2 linked regions of the Diceros bicornis minor genome follow. The protein of the gene in region 2 binds, or shares a complex with, the protein of the main gene of each other region. Links are inferred from orthologs where the notes say so. Each region holds a gene or a part of one and is shown on either strand. Other genes may lie near its edges.

What was found. Proteins that work in one complex are often made in the same cells at the same time.
Region 1: the proteins of OPRL1 (region 2) and PNOC are in contact, whole or in part, in a cryo-EM structure (PDB 8F7X), measured with the Homo sapiens proteins. The link is inferred for Diceros bicornis minor from reciprocal best matches to the Homo sapiens genes OPRL1 and PNOC. Residues at the interface, in NP_000904.1 of Homo sapiens: Gln107, Asp110, Gly114, Phe115, Trp116, Val126, Ile127, Asp130, Tyr131, Met134, Gln192, Glu194, Ile198, Glu199, Cys200, Leu201, Val202, Ile219, Val279, Gln280, Val283, Gln286, Gln291, Pro292, Ser293, Val298, Leu301, Arg302, Thr305, Tyr309; in NP_006219.1 of Homo sapiens: Phe130, Gly131, Gly132, Phe133, Thr134, Gly135, Ala136, Arg137, Lys138, Ser139, Ala140, Arg141, Lys142, Leu143.

The regions. Positions count from the first base shown.
Region 1 is NC_080750.1:65,594,191-65,602,066, forward strand, and holds the start of PNOC (prepronociceptin), read right to left. Parts: upstream 3,056-7,876; coding exon 2,930-3,055; intron 1-2,929.
Region 2 is NC_080758.1:162,313-169,546, forward strand, and holds the start of OPRL1 (nociceptin receptor), read right to left. Parts: upstream 3,027-7,234; coding exon 2,794-3,026; exon of another isoform or gene 2,763-2,793; intron 1-2,762.

The DNA.
Region 1 (7,876 bases), on a different chromosome or scaffold from region 2:
TGACACTTAATCTGGGTTTTGAGGCATGAGTAGGATTTATTGGCCGAGGGAAGAGGGAGAGGCATGCACAAGATGGCAGGGCTGGTTCCTGGAGCAGAGGGAAGGCCAGGAAGGGAAGGCGGGATTTCCTGGGAAGTGTGGAAAGTGGCTTGAGCCTAGCAGAGAGGAAGGGAGGAGTGGACTTTTGGGAGTTCCGTGCTGCCTGGGGAGGGCCTGGGATACTGGTATGGCATCTCAGAGGGAGAGAGTACATGGAGGTTAGAAGCAGGGAATCTTGGTGATCACTTATGTTTAGAGGGTGGGAGGAGGAACAGGAGCCCAGCAGGAGGCAGAAAAAGAAGAGTCAGAATGGGAGAGAGAGCCAGGCAAGTTCACCAAGAGAGGGGCGAGAGGAGGAAGCCTGCAAATTGGCCCCTGGATTCGGTGGTTAAGAGTTGCTGGTGACTTCCAAGAGAGCAACGAGGGGGTCAAAGTCACAATCTTTCAAACATGACAATGAAAGGAAGGAAAGAGCAAGTGGGAGAGGGCAAAAAAGGAGAAGGCTCAGCAGGAAAATCAATGGTACAAGGGAAGGAGGAGGAAGAAGGGGCAGGAGCGCAGACGGGAGGCAGGTGGGGAGAATGAAGACAGACCCTGAGATGGCGGTAAGGAGACTGGACAGAATTTGTACTTGTTGGCCTCCATCTTCACAGTACAAGGCAACCCAAGGTCATGATGTCCAAGAAGTTGGGAAGGCCACTAGTGCTTCACAATCAGGGGTAATTGTTTCAAAGAGATCACATAAATCCATGAATGATTTACTTTGTAAAAATACATTAGAGCAGACTCAGGGTTATCCTTACAGTTAAGTTCTTAATGCTTTTTTATTGTAAAATACAAGTAACATCAAATTTACCATTTTAACCATTTTTAAGTGTACAGTTCAGTGGTTTAAGTACATTCACATTGTCGCACAACCATCACCACCATCCATCTCTGGGCTTTTCTATCTTCCCGAACTGAAACTCTCATTAAACAATAACTCCCCATTTCCCCCAACCCCCAGCCCTTGGCAACCACCATTCTACTTTCTGTCTATGAATTTGACTACTCTAGGAATCTCGTATAAGTGGAATCATACAATATTTGTCCTTCTGTGACTGGCTTATTTCACTTAGCATAATGTCTTCAAGGTTCATCCATCTTGTTACACATGTCAGAATTTCCTTCCTTTTTAAGGCTGAATAATATTCCACTGTATATACATACCACAGTTTATTTATTCATTCATTATTGATGGACACTTGGGTTGTTTCCACCTTTTGGAAATTGTGAATAATGCTGCTATGGACATGAGTGTACAAATATCTGGTTCAGTCCTAATGCTTTTTTGAATGGGAGATAAAGAGTTACAGTTAAAGCTAGTGATTCAGGAATTGTACGTAACCTTCAGTCTTCTCTAGGCTGCAACCTGAGAACCTTAACAGTGTGGTGATGGTGATATTTTTGCTTAATCAGCTCCTTCACTGGTTTACATGTAAACTAGTTGTCTGCTCTGTTTACTAAGGCCAAGGAAAGTGTTTTTTTTGGATGAACTTTTAAACTTCTTTGGGCTGCACAGAAAAGGCGTGAGGGCCTTCTGTACTTTAGCCAAACTCAGCTTTTCTCAGTTCCTTAAACGCTGCTCCTCTCCCTCCTGTAGGCATTTGCACATGTGCTCCCCCTCCATGCCTCTCTCCACTGCCTGGGGCACCGGGGGCATGCCTCTTCACTCCCACTCATCTTTAGGTCTCCTTAGGGACTTCAGTTCCTCCAAAAGCCCCCTCTGCCCCTCTAGACTAGGTTGGGATCCACTACCTGTGCTTCCCCAGCACCCAGTAATTACTCTCTTGCAGAGGGATTGTGGGTTCCTCTCTCCCACTAGTTGCAAACTCCATCCATCTGCTCATCTTTGGATCCCTGGCCTAGCCCAGTGCTCAGCACATAGAAGATGCTTGGAAGAACCACTATGGATGAATGAGAGGGACAGATACACTTTGGATGGGTTATCTGGGGATGCTCTTCATGATGTGGCAGTCATTACTGTGCAGAAAACAGGCTGGAAGACCACAGAGCCAGCGCAGAAAGAGCTTGGTGTTTGGGTCTGTCAGGGCTGTGTCTGCTCATCGTTAGCACATTAGCCCAACGTGAATACTTGGTTTCTATATTTGTACACTTGCCTTAAGGAACAGTAGTTGCTTTTGGTTGTTTTTAAAGGTTGAGGAGTTTGAAACATGGCATCTTTTGAAAGAAGGTTATTGGACTATAAAGAAAAAATAATTGTTGGATTTGATAGGCGAAGAATAACTACTTAGACTGAAATGAAAGCAGTTGAGAAAGCAGCTTATTTACTGAAAAGAAATTTGATGTTGGATTTGCACCTCAAATTCAAAATTTGAAATATAAGAAGGCATTTAGGTATTTATTGCAGAATTATCTATAATATCAAAAATGGAGGGCAATGTACATACTCAATGGGAGGGGTGTGGTTAAACAAATTATACTGTATTCATAGAAAGAAATTACTTAAAATAATGTTTAATAACACAGGAGAATTATCCTAATATAATATAGCAAGTGAAAAAACTAGGATTCTTTCTCTGGTGAGATTAAAAGTGATTTTAATTTTCTTTTTTTATACTTCTGTGAATTTGCCAAATTCTCTGAAAGGAGTATGCATTATTTTAATAGTGGGAACAAAATGGCAGCATGGGCAGGTCTTTATTTGCATGTGGCAAAGTGGAAAGATGACAGGGTTTGCATTCAGAGGATGCTCAAGTCCACATCTGTTTCCTACCGATCAGGTGACACCAGGTGAATCACGTGACCTCTAGGCGAGGCCTTAGTTTCTCATCCTGGATCTGCTCTGGGGGAGAGAGGGAGGAGAAGACAGGGACGTTCCTGGACCTACCTCAAAATTGAAGCTGTCAAGAGCTGGGTGGAGCTTCTCTCTGCAGGTCAGGCAGTCCTTCTGACAGCTGCTGGACACGCTGGAAAAGAGGCTGAGCAGCAGAAGGTCACAAAGCAGGATTTTCATGGTGCAGGAGCTGGGATCCAGTTGCTAAAACACAAGTGAGGGTGGGTGGCAATTAGAACAGCCATTCTGTGGGGGCCAGTAGGGGCTGGAGACTCTCACACAGGTGATGCAAGAAAGATACTCTTTGGAGGGGACAGCGCCAGGGCCTGAGGTTTACCTCCCAGGAGGAAGTGGATTGTCAAGAGCACAGGTGGCCCGCTCCTGTCAGCCAGGACTAACGTTCATGCAGGAGCTGGTGTCTGGGCTCCTGGGGAGAGCATCTCCGTGATTGCTGCCACCCAGCTGCCCTCAATGTGCCTGAGCACTTCCAGGGAGCTAAAAGCCTCACTTTGCAGCTTACCAGTGTGTGACAACCTCTCCAAGCCTGAATTCTCCTAGCTATAAAAGGGGAATAGTGGTCCCTGCCTTGTCACAGGGCTGTTGCAAAGATGAGATGAGATCTGCAAGGGAAGTTTTGCAAGAGTGAGATGTGTCAAATGAGTGATTTATGAGTGACTCGTGTACCTCATGTCATCCTGCCCAGCCCTGGCCAGGAATGCCCCATGTCTCAGAATCTGCTCTTCCAGGAAGCTTCTGCCAGGTTCCTTGTCCATTTCCCCGCTAGACATGATCCCGCTTCCTGAGCACAGGGCCAATGCTATGTTCACCTTGCTATTCTGTGAAAAACAGGACCAGGCATGTGGAGTTATTTATTGAAAAATGAACACAGATACTATTCTAAGATGATAGCTCCAATGATTATTAGTTATATCAGTAGTTTCTATTCTTTATGTAGGATTGCCTGAAAGATGTGCAGTTTTTCCTGTTCCTCTTTAAACTGATCCTGTGATCAAGCCTCCTGAATCAGAAAGCTATTTCCTTGGACTGCATCATTTAGGGTCCCTGTAGAACCATCTTTACTGAGAGGATTAAGTGGAAAGGGGAACAAGTGAACTTTCTAGAAATGTTGTGAATGTTCTTGTTTGACCTTTAGGTCACGGGGGTGTATACATTTGCCAAAAACCATTGAATTGTACATATAAATTCTGTGCATTTCACTGTATGTAAATTTTACCGTAATAAAGAGTTCAGTGTAGGAAAACAAAAATAATTGCCTTTTCACCAGACTATACTGAAAAAATGTAGAAGCCTTGCTATTTAAATGCAGTCTGCGACCAGCAGCATCAGCATCACCTGGGATCTTGCTAGAAATGCAGACTTTCAGGCCCTACCCCAGAACCACTGATTCTAGATCTGCGCTTTTTGCAGGTTCCTCAGGTGATTCGTACACACGCTCAAGTTTGAGAAGCACTGGTAGAAGATGGATGTGAAAGGGAGCAAGGCAGTAGGAGAAGGAAGGGGATGCTGCAGTTGAAGTCACCCGATGGCCATGTTGAGAAACTACCCCAGCTCTTTTTGTGCATCATCCAAGCATTTCATACCAAGAGGGTGTTGACTAAGAGATGCTCAATCAATATTTGTTAAGTCAATGAGGCAACATTTGAGATGGGTTTTGAATGATGATTGAGAGTTTGCCAAGAGAATAAAGAAAGGGGCGTCTGAGAGACCCAGGAAGCAGTCTTTTCAAAGGCACAGAAGAGTCAGGACCAGAGCCTGTGAGGGGATAGGGAGCAGGCTGTTGTGCTGGGGCCACCTGCCCACACTCCCTGAGGGAAGCACCCTGCCGAAAGAGAGGCTCAGTCCAGAGGAACAGGGTCTGGTTTCCATCCTAAAGGGTTTGAGCTTTACCCTACAGGTGATAGGATGTCCTGGGCTAATGAACACAAGTATCTATGCAAATGAGTATATCTCCAATGCAGTTTTTCTTCTCTATCTTGAGGGCCAGTACCTTAGTTGAGATTTACTGCCTTGGTTACTGTGATAGCCTCCTAATTAGTCTGCCTAATGGTCTGGCCTCCCACCAAGCCATCTCCAAATTGGATGATGTCACTTCACACTTAAAGTAATTCTATAACCCCCATTGGGACTGCTCCTGCCCACTTCTCTAGTTTCATCTCCAGTCACTCACCCTTGTACCTCCCCTAGTCCTAGTGAATCACATATTGTTCCCAACTCTATTGGGTCCTTTGTGAAATGCCTTCTTGGCACTTGCTGTTCCTTCTGCCCAGAACACGTGTCTCCAACTCATACTTCATATACACCTCAAGACTTAGCCCCTCTGGGAAGCCATCGCCAACCCTGGTCTGAGTTAGAAGAATCTCCTCTGCTTCTGTGGCACCGCAACACAGCACATCATAGTGGGAAGCAAGTGAGCCTCAGAGGCCTGTCTGTCAACCAGGCACAACAGACCTATGTCGCAGAGTTGTTGTGTTTCGCGTTTTCTCATCTGCTCATCACTACAGACTGCCTGGGTTCACATCCCAGGTCTGCAATTCAACATCTCAGTTTCTAATCTATAAAAATGGGGCAATAATGGTGTACCTATCTCATATGACAATTAATGGGTTAGTGTTGGTAAGCAGTTAAAATAGCACCTGGCACAAAACAAGTACTATAGAAAAGCAAGAACCCAGCACGTAGCCTTCATGCTATAGTACTATCATTGTCTCTTGCATGGCACTTACCACACTACACTGTAAGCTTGGACTTATGTGTCCATTTCTCCTGCTGGACTGTGACTTCCTGAAGGGCAGAGATTATATTCTATGGTCCTCTATCTTTCTAGCATCCAGCACAGGGCCAGGCACTTAGGAGATGCTAAAAAATGTTTGATAAATGACAGTGGAGTATCTCAGGAGCCCTCTTCCTTCTCCTTAGCCAGTGTCGACTTGAGGAGTTTCTAGGATCATCTGCCTCATTGGGGGCCCAGGATGCTCACAGCACAGGAGCCACTTCAGGACCTGTGTTACTGACAAAGCATCTCTTAGCTAATTGTTCAGTTTGAGGGGAGAGGCATATGAACTAGTTTTGTTCCAGAGCAAGGCAAGATGCCATCCTAAGCTGGAACCTCATGTTACAAATGGCCGTGAGGCATGGTTGGAATAGTGTTATATGCTGAGTTTGTACAGGTTAAATGGGTATTGGTAGACAAGCTATGGAAGCTCATCACCACTTACGGGTTCTTTTGAAGAGAAAATGTATCTTGAATTCCAAACAGCCATCATATAAGCAAAAGTCTTAAATTGAGGACTACATGAATATGTCTTTTCTTTGAATTGAGAATTCCCTTTACATTTCTTATTCTACTAAATTTCAGTCTTCCTAGTCGGGAGACATTTTTGTAGAATTTGTCCAGAATGGCATGGCTGTACTCTTTATGGCCACATGATGGCAGTGCCTGCATGTCATAGAAGAAAGGGAAGGAGAGGAGAAAAGGGACTGTTTCCTTTCCTTCCTAATACAAAATTGCAATCCATAATGTTTGCATAGGCTGAGGTGATATGTTGTGACAGATGTTAATGAAATGCTCTCTGGCTGAGGTTTTTCATGAACTTCATTAACCGGGGCAACTTGCACATTCGGGAAGTGTTTGGTGGAATGACTGATATTTGTTATCTCAAATTCTGGGTAAATGGGTTTTTAGGGTGAGGTGAAGAAAGAAAATGAGCTCCTGGGGCGTTTGGCACATGTTCCATTTGGTAGCCTTCCTGCATGTCAAGTGTGGGCCTTCTTCGGTTTGGCGCTATGGGAAACTTCGTCAGATCTACCTGACCTTCGCCCGGCCCTCCCTGCTGGTCCGTGGTACACCTCTCTTCTAGTCTCCAACCTCCCTACCCCTCTAGATCCCACCCCTCACTTTTAACAAGTGACCCCACCTATTATTTAAAAACCATCCATACTCAACGCCATTCATTCTCCTTTGCAGTTCAAAGAATCCTTAAAATGGGAATGACAGCACAGTCCTATATCACAGGTGGTTTGTGATATTTAGAGATTAATATAAATGAAAGCTCAAAATAGATGTAATTATCCTTAAGAAGGGACAACATTTTATACTTTTGGGTACTCCTCACAACACCTAGTACAACTGTGTTCTGGGTTAAGTTAGATTTTGAACTTTATTGAAAACTCAATAAAAGTTTTTCATTTTTAAGATGTGTTGACAGCACCTATGTGGTTTTTTTGTAGCTCTGTCTGTAAGTTAATGCCAAGTAAGATGAAAGTGAGTAATTAGTCAATTCATGAGTTATATTTATGATTAATCTTTACACTTTGTACCTGTGTGACTTTGGGTAAGTATTTCACCTCTGAGAGCTTCAGTCTTCTCAACTGCAAAATGGGGGTAACAACAGGTTTTTGTTGTTGTTGTTTATTGTACCATACTGACCATCAGTAAATAAAACTTCCCTGAATATGTTTGAATTTTATGGCTTGTATTTCACTAGGTGAACCAAGTTCAGCTAACACTTCTATAATCTGGACATCTCGTATTGAATAAAGAAACGTTTAATTAACCTTTTATTTTGGTAATGACACCTCATAAATTTAATTGTACCTCACTGTTTATAAAGATAAAATACTACTGTGTTTCAGCCTCAATCTATTTGCATGCAATCTTGCTTCTAAGGGCAGTATAATTAGTCGCTTATCTGTTTGGAGAATTACGTATGAAGCTTTAGCTGAAGCTAAAAGTTAATTGAGTTTTGTCTTATGACCTACGAGAAAGCCTGTAATTTTGGTGCTTTTAGTGGCAAAGGGAAGAGGGGCAGCCTTCCTGCTGGAAGCATATGCATCCCCATCCTTCTCATCAACCACATGTGTAGATTTTGTTCTTTATAGGTTACAAAAGATTTTTATATTCATATACAACCCTATATCTAGGGTTAATATTATCCCCCTTTTTGAGATGAACATAAGCTCATAGAGGTTGAGCAACTTGCC
Region 2 (7,234 bases):
GTGGTTTCTTACAAATCTACACAGACTCTTACCATACGATCCAGCAATTGCACTCCTTGGTATTTACCCAGAGGAGGTGAAAACTTATGTCCACACAAAAACCTGCACATGGATATTTATAGCAGCTTTACTCACAATTGCCAAAACTTGGAAGCAACCAAAATGTCCTTCAGTGGGTAGATGGACAAATAAACTGTGGTCCATCCAGACAATGGAATATTATTCAGCGCTAAAAAGAATGAGCTGTCCAGCCATGAAAAGACATGGAGGAACCTTAAACGCACATCACTCAGTGAAAGAAGCCAGTCTGAAAAGGCTATGCACTGCATCATTCTAACTATACGCCACTCTGGAAAAGGCAAAACTATGGAGACAGTAAAAAGATGAGTGGTTGCCAGGGGTAGAGAGGTGGGGAGTGATGAATAGGCGGAGCACAGGGGATTTTTAGGGTAGTGAAACTACTCTGTGTGATACTATAGTGATGGACACATGTCCTCATACATTTGTGCAAACCCACACAATGTACAACACAAAGAATGACCCCTACTGTAAACTACAGACTCCGGGTGATAAGATGTGTTAATGTAGGTTCATCAATTATGACAAATGCACCATCTGGTGGGGGATATTGGTAATGGGGGAGGCTATGCATGTGTGGGGGCAGAGGGTATATGGGAAATCTCTGTACCTTCCTGTCAATTTTGCTGTGAACTTAAATAAAACTGCTCTAAAAAAACAGTCTTTAAAAAAGAGCAGGGTTTGGAACTGGGTGTTTCTGAATTCTGAGGGAGCCCACCCCAGTCCGCTGGCTCAGAGTGTACTGTGCTGCCTCTCGGGCCAGCGCAGTCACAACAGTTCCTGCACATCCCTCTCTCTGGGGGCTGCCTGTGGCAAGACAACCTTCCTTGTCTGCTGAAATCCAGGACGTGGCTCTGGGAGCTGGGATGCCCCAGCGAGGGAGACACAGAGGAGAAGCACTAACAACAAGAAGGACGGACGGACCATCCAGACTGCTGCACTTCTCACCCACAACACCTCCTCCAGCCACGAAGGGGCGTGTGAGTCCAGTCCCCTGAGGGTCAGCACTGGGGAGGGGGCAGCTGCTCCTCCCAGCCCCTTGCCTGAGCATGCACCCCACACACACCAACACACACACCATGCACACATACGGGTGCATGCTCACACATACATGTACAGCGTGCATGTGCACACTCACACTTACGTGTACACACATATGCGCGTGCACGCTCACATGCATGTACACACGTATGTGCACACTCACACATGCAGGTATGCACATGCACACGTGCACATCCCCACACTGCCCCCATGCTGTCCCCATACTCTCCACCCACACTGTCCCCACACTGTCCCCATGCCGTCCCCACACACTGTCCCCCACACTGTCCTCATGCTATCCTCCACACTGTCCTCACACTGTCCCTCTACACTGTCCCCACACTGTTCCCCACATTGTCCCTCTACACTGTCCCCACACTGTCCCTCTACACTGTCCCCACACTGTCCCCACTGTCCCTCCACACTGTCTCCACACTGTCCCTCTACACTGTCCCTCCACACTGTCCCCACACTGTCCCTCTACACTGTCCCTCCACACTGTCCCCACATTGTCCCTCTACACCTACCCTCCACACTGTCCCCACACTGTCCCCCCACACTGTCCCACACTGTCCCCACACTGTCCCCACACTGTCCCTACCACACTGCCCCCACACTGTCCCTCCACACTGTCCCCACACTGTCCCTGTACACTGTCCCTCCACACTGTCCCCACACAGTCCCCCCACACTGTCCCTCCACACTGTCCCCACACTGTCCCCACACTGTCACCCCACACTGTCCCCACACTGTCCCCACCACACTGTCCCCACACTGTCCCTCTACACTGTCTCTCCACACTGTCCCCACACTGTCCCTCTACACTGTCCCTCCACACTGTCCCCACACTGTCCCCACACTGCCCCCCCACACTGTCCCCCCACACTGTCACCACACTGTCCCCACACTGTCCCCACCACACTGTCCCCCCACACTGTCCCCACACTGTCCCCACACTGTCCCCACCACACTATCCCCACATTGTCCACCCACACTGTGCCCCAACACTGAACCTCCACACTGTCCCCACCACACTGTCCCCACATTGTCCACCCACACTGTGCCCCCACGCTGAACCTCCACACTGTCCCCACACTGTCCTCACTCTGTCCTCACACTCCCCCACGCTGTTCCCCTGTGACATCTCCTCGCCCCGCAGCCCACTCTGAGCACTGACAGACGCTGGCGTGGGCCCAGACACCAGCTGTGAACCCGGAGCCCTGGAGCCGGAGGGAAGGGGCTTCCGGCATCCGCCCAGCACCAGCCCTGGAATGGGCTGACGAGCTGCTTCTCGGGGCTGCTGTGGGACCCACGAGGTCCTCACACAGCGGCTTGGCTGGGAGCCGGGCCCATGGCTCAGACCAGGGAGTGTCATCTGTCAGGAGTAAGGGTAATGTTCCGTCTGGGACAGAGCTGCGCCCTCCTCCCCGCCAAGCCTGGGCAGGCAGGGCTGGTCCCCTCCTCCTCCTCTCCCTCTAGTCTGGTGCCCCCACCCCGAGGAGCTGAGTTTCCTGGGCCTCAGGACTGACCCTGCCCCATGTCAGGACGACCAGGAACTGCATGGGGGAACAGGAAATCCCCACCAGCCAGCCCAGCCAGAACAGCCCCTGCCGGTTTTCCCTCTGCAGCCTTGTGGGTCTCACCAGGCAGGGACCTCAGCGGGGCCCAGCCTACCTGAGGATGACATACATGACGAGGCAGTTCCCCAGCAGCCCCCCGACACACACGGCCAGGTAGAGCCCCATGATGGTGACCTTGAGCCCGAGGGGCAGGAAGGCGCCGTGGCTGGCGTTGAGCAGCAGGTGGGGGGGCAGCAGGCTGCGGTTGGGGCTCAGGAGGGACAGGTTGCCCTGCAGGTGGCTGCCATAGAGGACCTCCCAGAACGGGGCAGGGAAGAGGGACTCCATGCTGCTGCCCTGCGTGGGAAGCCACTCGGTACCTGGGAGGGCACAGGGACATATGACTGCAGACCCAACACCCACCCCACCACGGCCTCCGCGCACAGTGTGCGTGGTCCAGCAGGCACATGGATGCCCGTGGGCAGCCGCAGACACAGAGGGACACATGCACACACACACAGGGACACATGCACACACAGGGACACGCAAAGCACAGAGACACGCCTGTATATGCAGGGACACACAGGCACACACGGGCACACACACAGGAACACAGGCACACGCACACACACACAGCGACTCGTGGAGACATGCAGACATGTATGTACAGACAGGGACACACAAACACAGAGGCACGTACGTACACACAGGGACACAGTCTCATCTGCCTTGCAGACTCCCACATGGGATGTGTGGACGTAGTTACACACCAGGACACGTGTCCACCCACAGGGACTCAGGGACACGCAGCCACCCGTGTGCTCACAGGCGCAGGGGCACATGGGTGCACACACACACACAGATGCCCAAACATGCCCTCAGGCACACGCAGGCACAAAAGGGGCTAAGACGTGCCCAGAAACACCTGGGACAGAACACAGGGTGGCCGAGCGCACGGCCGCCTCCTGTCCCTCCGCAATCCTGCCGGAGAGCCGCAGGCTGTCTGCAGGTCACCCCCACACCCGACCCCCAGCAACTCAAGCCTTACCTCTGCAACCTCCCGGGAGCCAGACACTGGAGACCCTAACCCTTGGCTGGATGGCAGAGCAGGGCTGGGACCCCCTCCCCGCCTCAGCCCCCCGTCTGGATGGGGCGACGGTGGCAGCGGCGGTGGCAGCTGCTCCTTCTCAGTAGACTAGTAGACTAGACGCAGCAGCCTAGCGCAGAGCTGGGGGAGGGGAGGAGGCTGCAGCTCCAGAAGGGGAGGCGCCACACAGGCTGGAGGAGGGGGCCACAGGGAAGGGGGGTCACCAGGGCCCACGCTAGATGGAGACAGACGCAAGACCAGGGCACACACCTAGTGATGAATGACAGAGAGAGGCTTAGACTCACAGAGCCCGGACAGAGACTGGCTCAGACACAGTGACAGAGATGCACACAGGAACTCAGACACAAGAACAGGCACACACAAGGACACACAGGGACTCAGGGACAGGCACATGGGAACTCACACAAAGACACGGAAAGAAACAGAATACAACACCTGGGACAGAGTCTCGGGGAGACACACACAGGACACGCAGACATGGGGCCACAGCTCCCACACAGACACACGGCCTTGGACGAACTCAGACCAGCCTCGGTTGGCATCCTGTGTCCAGAACAGCGCCCCTCAGCCAGGCTCCTCAGCTGAGCCACAATGCGCCAGCAGGTGGGTGGACACGTGGCAGGGCCCCTGCATGGCCAGCTCTGAGCAGACCAAAGCCTTGTTGTAAACAAGAGGACGCCAGGACTCTGCTGTGCACCCTGCATGCCCACTGTGTGCCTCATATGCCTACTGTGCACCACGCCCATCATGAACATGATCACCCATCCCCACTGGATCTGGCCATTGCCATCAGCACCACTTTTGTGCAGACAAGAGCATTAAGCCTCAGAGGTGTGAAGCCACCTGTCAAAATGGCAGAGACAGGGCTCAAACTCAGGTTTGTCTGGCACCGAGACACACCAAGGGCGTCTCTGCCACAGCTGGGTCCCAGAGCAACATCTGAGCCTCATTCCTTCACAGCCTGGGCCCCCAGCACCCACGCAGCTGAACAGCTCCCATGGAGCTGCCTCCTTCCCAGCCTGAAGTCACAAACCATGTGGGTGACCCCTGAGCTGAGTCGCCAACTCCACCTAGTCCTGGGGTCATTCTTCCTGCACGGGCCCTACCCACACAGCCCAGACCCTTCTCAGAGCATCCGTCTCCAAGGATGGGGACCTGGTTGCTAGGCGACCTGGAGCAGCGTCGCTAGGATACCTGGTGAATCAGGAGGGGACAGGGCAGGCAGATGCCCCAGGACTCAGCATCCCAAGCTGTCCCCCAGGACTTATCTCTGCATCTTCGCTGCAGCCTACTCAGGGACGCGTGTGGAGACACAGGGCATGTCCCCAGAGACACTCAGGACACACAGACTCACATGCCCGCAAACAAACATAAAGATGCCCAAGCAGGCACACGGGTAGACACACAGACATGGGTGCACACGCAGAAATGCACAGACACTCACAGGGACGCACAAACACGTGTGCACACACACACACACAGGTGCACGTGAGGCACGTGAGTAGACACAAGAGAACAGGAAAACACACAGATCAAGGCCCCCAGACGCCCAGGGAACAGACGCGTGCACCATACTCTGCAGACAAAGCTCAAAGCACCTCCTGCTGACCTCAGGAGCCCAGCAGGGGCAGGAACCCAGGGAGGCTCGGCCTCCTGTAGCCTCCCCGAGCTGGGCTCCCCCAGGCCTGACCAGCCAACCTCAGTCCCTCCTGACCCAGTTGCCTGTGCCTCCACCTGCTCGCCAGCCGAGAGGGCTTTTTCATACTGGCCTTTAGTCGCCTCCCAGCCCAGCAGGCCTCAGCTGGGGAAAGGGATGGGCCATGAGGTGGCTTTGAGGCTGGACGTGAGTTACGGTCTGGACAGAGACCCTGTGAGAGTGCATCTGACAGAGCCGGCACAGGACAGCTGGAGGCCGATACCTGGCCCCTCACAGGCACAGTCTCAGCTGAAGGACAGGCTTAGTCACCTGGCTGATGGGTAGCCAGGCCAGGATGCTGACTACACTCCTTGGGGGTGGCAGCAGCCCAGCCCTGGACACTGGAGGGCACCCACAAAGGGGGCTGACGCCTCTTGACTCCTGAGCGGAAATGGTCTAGGCCTCTCTTGACCCCTGAGCAGCCAGAGTAAGACACAGAACATATGTGTCACACGTGGACACATGTGACAGCAGAGGACACGTGTTATATGAGCGAGTATTTAGGTCAAAGTAGGACAACTTCAAACACACGTCATATGTAGGCAAAACAGAACACGCAGGGACACAGGGACGGCCCGAGACACACAGCTTGCGAATGATAGCACAGAACACAAACTACGGTCGGAGCCCACCGGCGCCCTAATCGGAACTCAGATGCATCTGGGGCAGGACCCAGGTCCCAGCATGAGATTCACACCCACACCCTGCGGTAAACACACTCCACTCTCACCCCAACGACTCAGAGCCTCACAGGGCGGATGGCAGACTCCAGCGCCAGCTCTGCCGCCTGGGGCAGGCGTGCTGTCCGCTCCCCGCTCTGCACGCTTCACCACCCCTGGGCTGGGCACAGGAATCAAAGCATCGTCACTGGCAGCCTCACACAACAGCCGTCCCCTGGGGAGTTCAGTCACCAAGCCACACTCAACCACTTGTGCTGTCAAGAAACTGAAACTCAGAATTTTTAATAATTCTGAATTTCATCACAATAAATTATTTTGTTCTTATGATTTCAACTTCATAATATTTATATACAGCAACAAGAGAATTGAGTTGTAGATTTTCAATTTAATGTTAAATTTTGTAGCCATTTGATAAAGCTTATTAATTTTATTTTGAAGTTTATTTTCAGGCTTTGGCACCAATCAGCATGCTCTTATTTATTTTTTTTAATTTTTCTTTTTTTTGAGGAAGACTGGCCCTGAGCTAACATCTGTTGCCAATCTTCCTCTTTTTGTTTTTTTCTCCCCAAAGCCCCAGTACATAGTTGTGTATCATAGTCGTAGAGCTGTAGCTCTTCTATGTGGGACCCCTCCTCAACATGGTTTGATGAGAGGTGAGTAGGTCCGCACCGAGCATCCAAACCGGCAAACCCGGGGCCACCGAAGAGGAACGCGCGAACTTAACCGCTAGGCCACCGGGCCGGACCCCCAGTCAGCGTGCTTTTAGATCTCAGCACTTCCACTGGCCCTTGAAAAACACACGAATCCTGGACTCAGAAACAGATGGAGGACACCTGCCTGGTGGTGCCTCACAGTTGCTGGGCCTCAACAGACACACAGGGAACAGCTGCCCTCCCAGTGGAACCACAGGTGTGTGGAGAAGCAGGAAGAAGCCATGCTCAGGGATGTGGGCTGTGTGGGCACCAAGCCCTCCAGAAATTACGGAGGGAGGAAGTGTCAAAGTTTTTCAGTCCTACAAAAGCAGAGGGAAAGTCCCAAGTCCCTTCTTGCAAGAGAGTGTGCCCCCACTCCC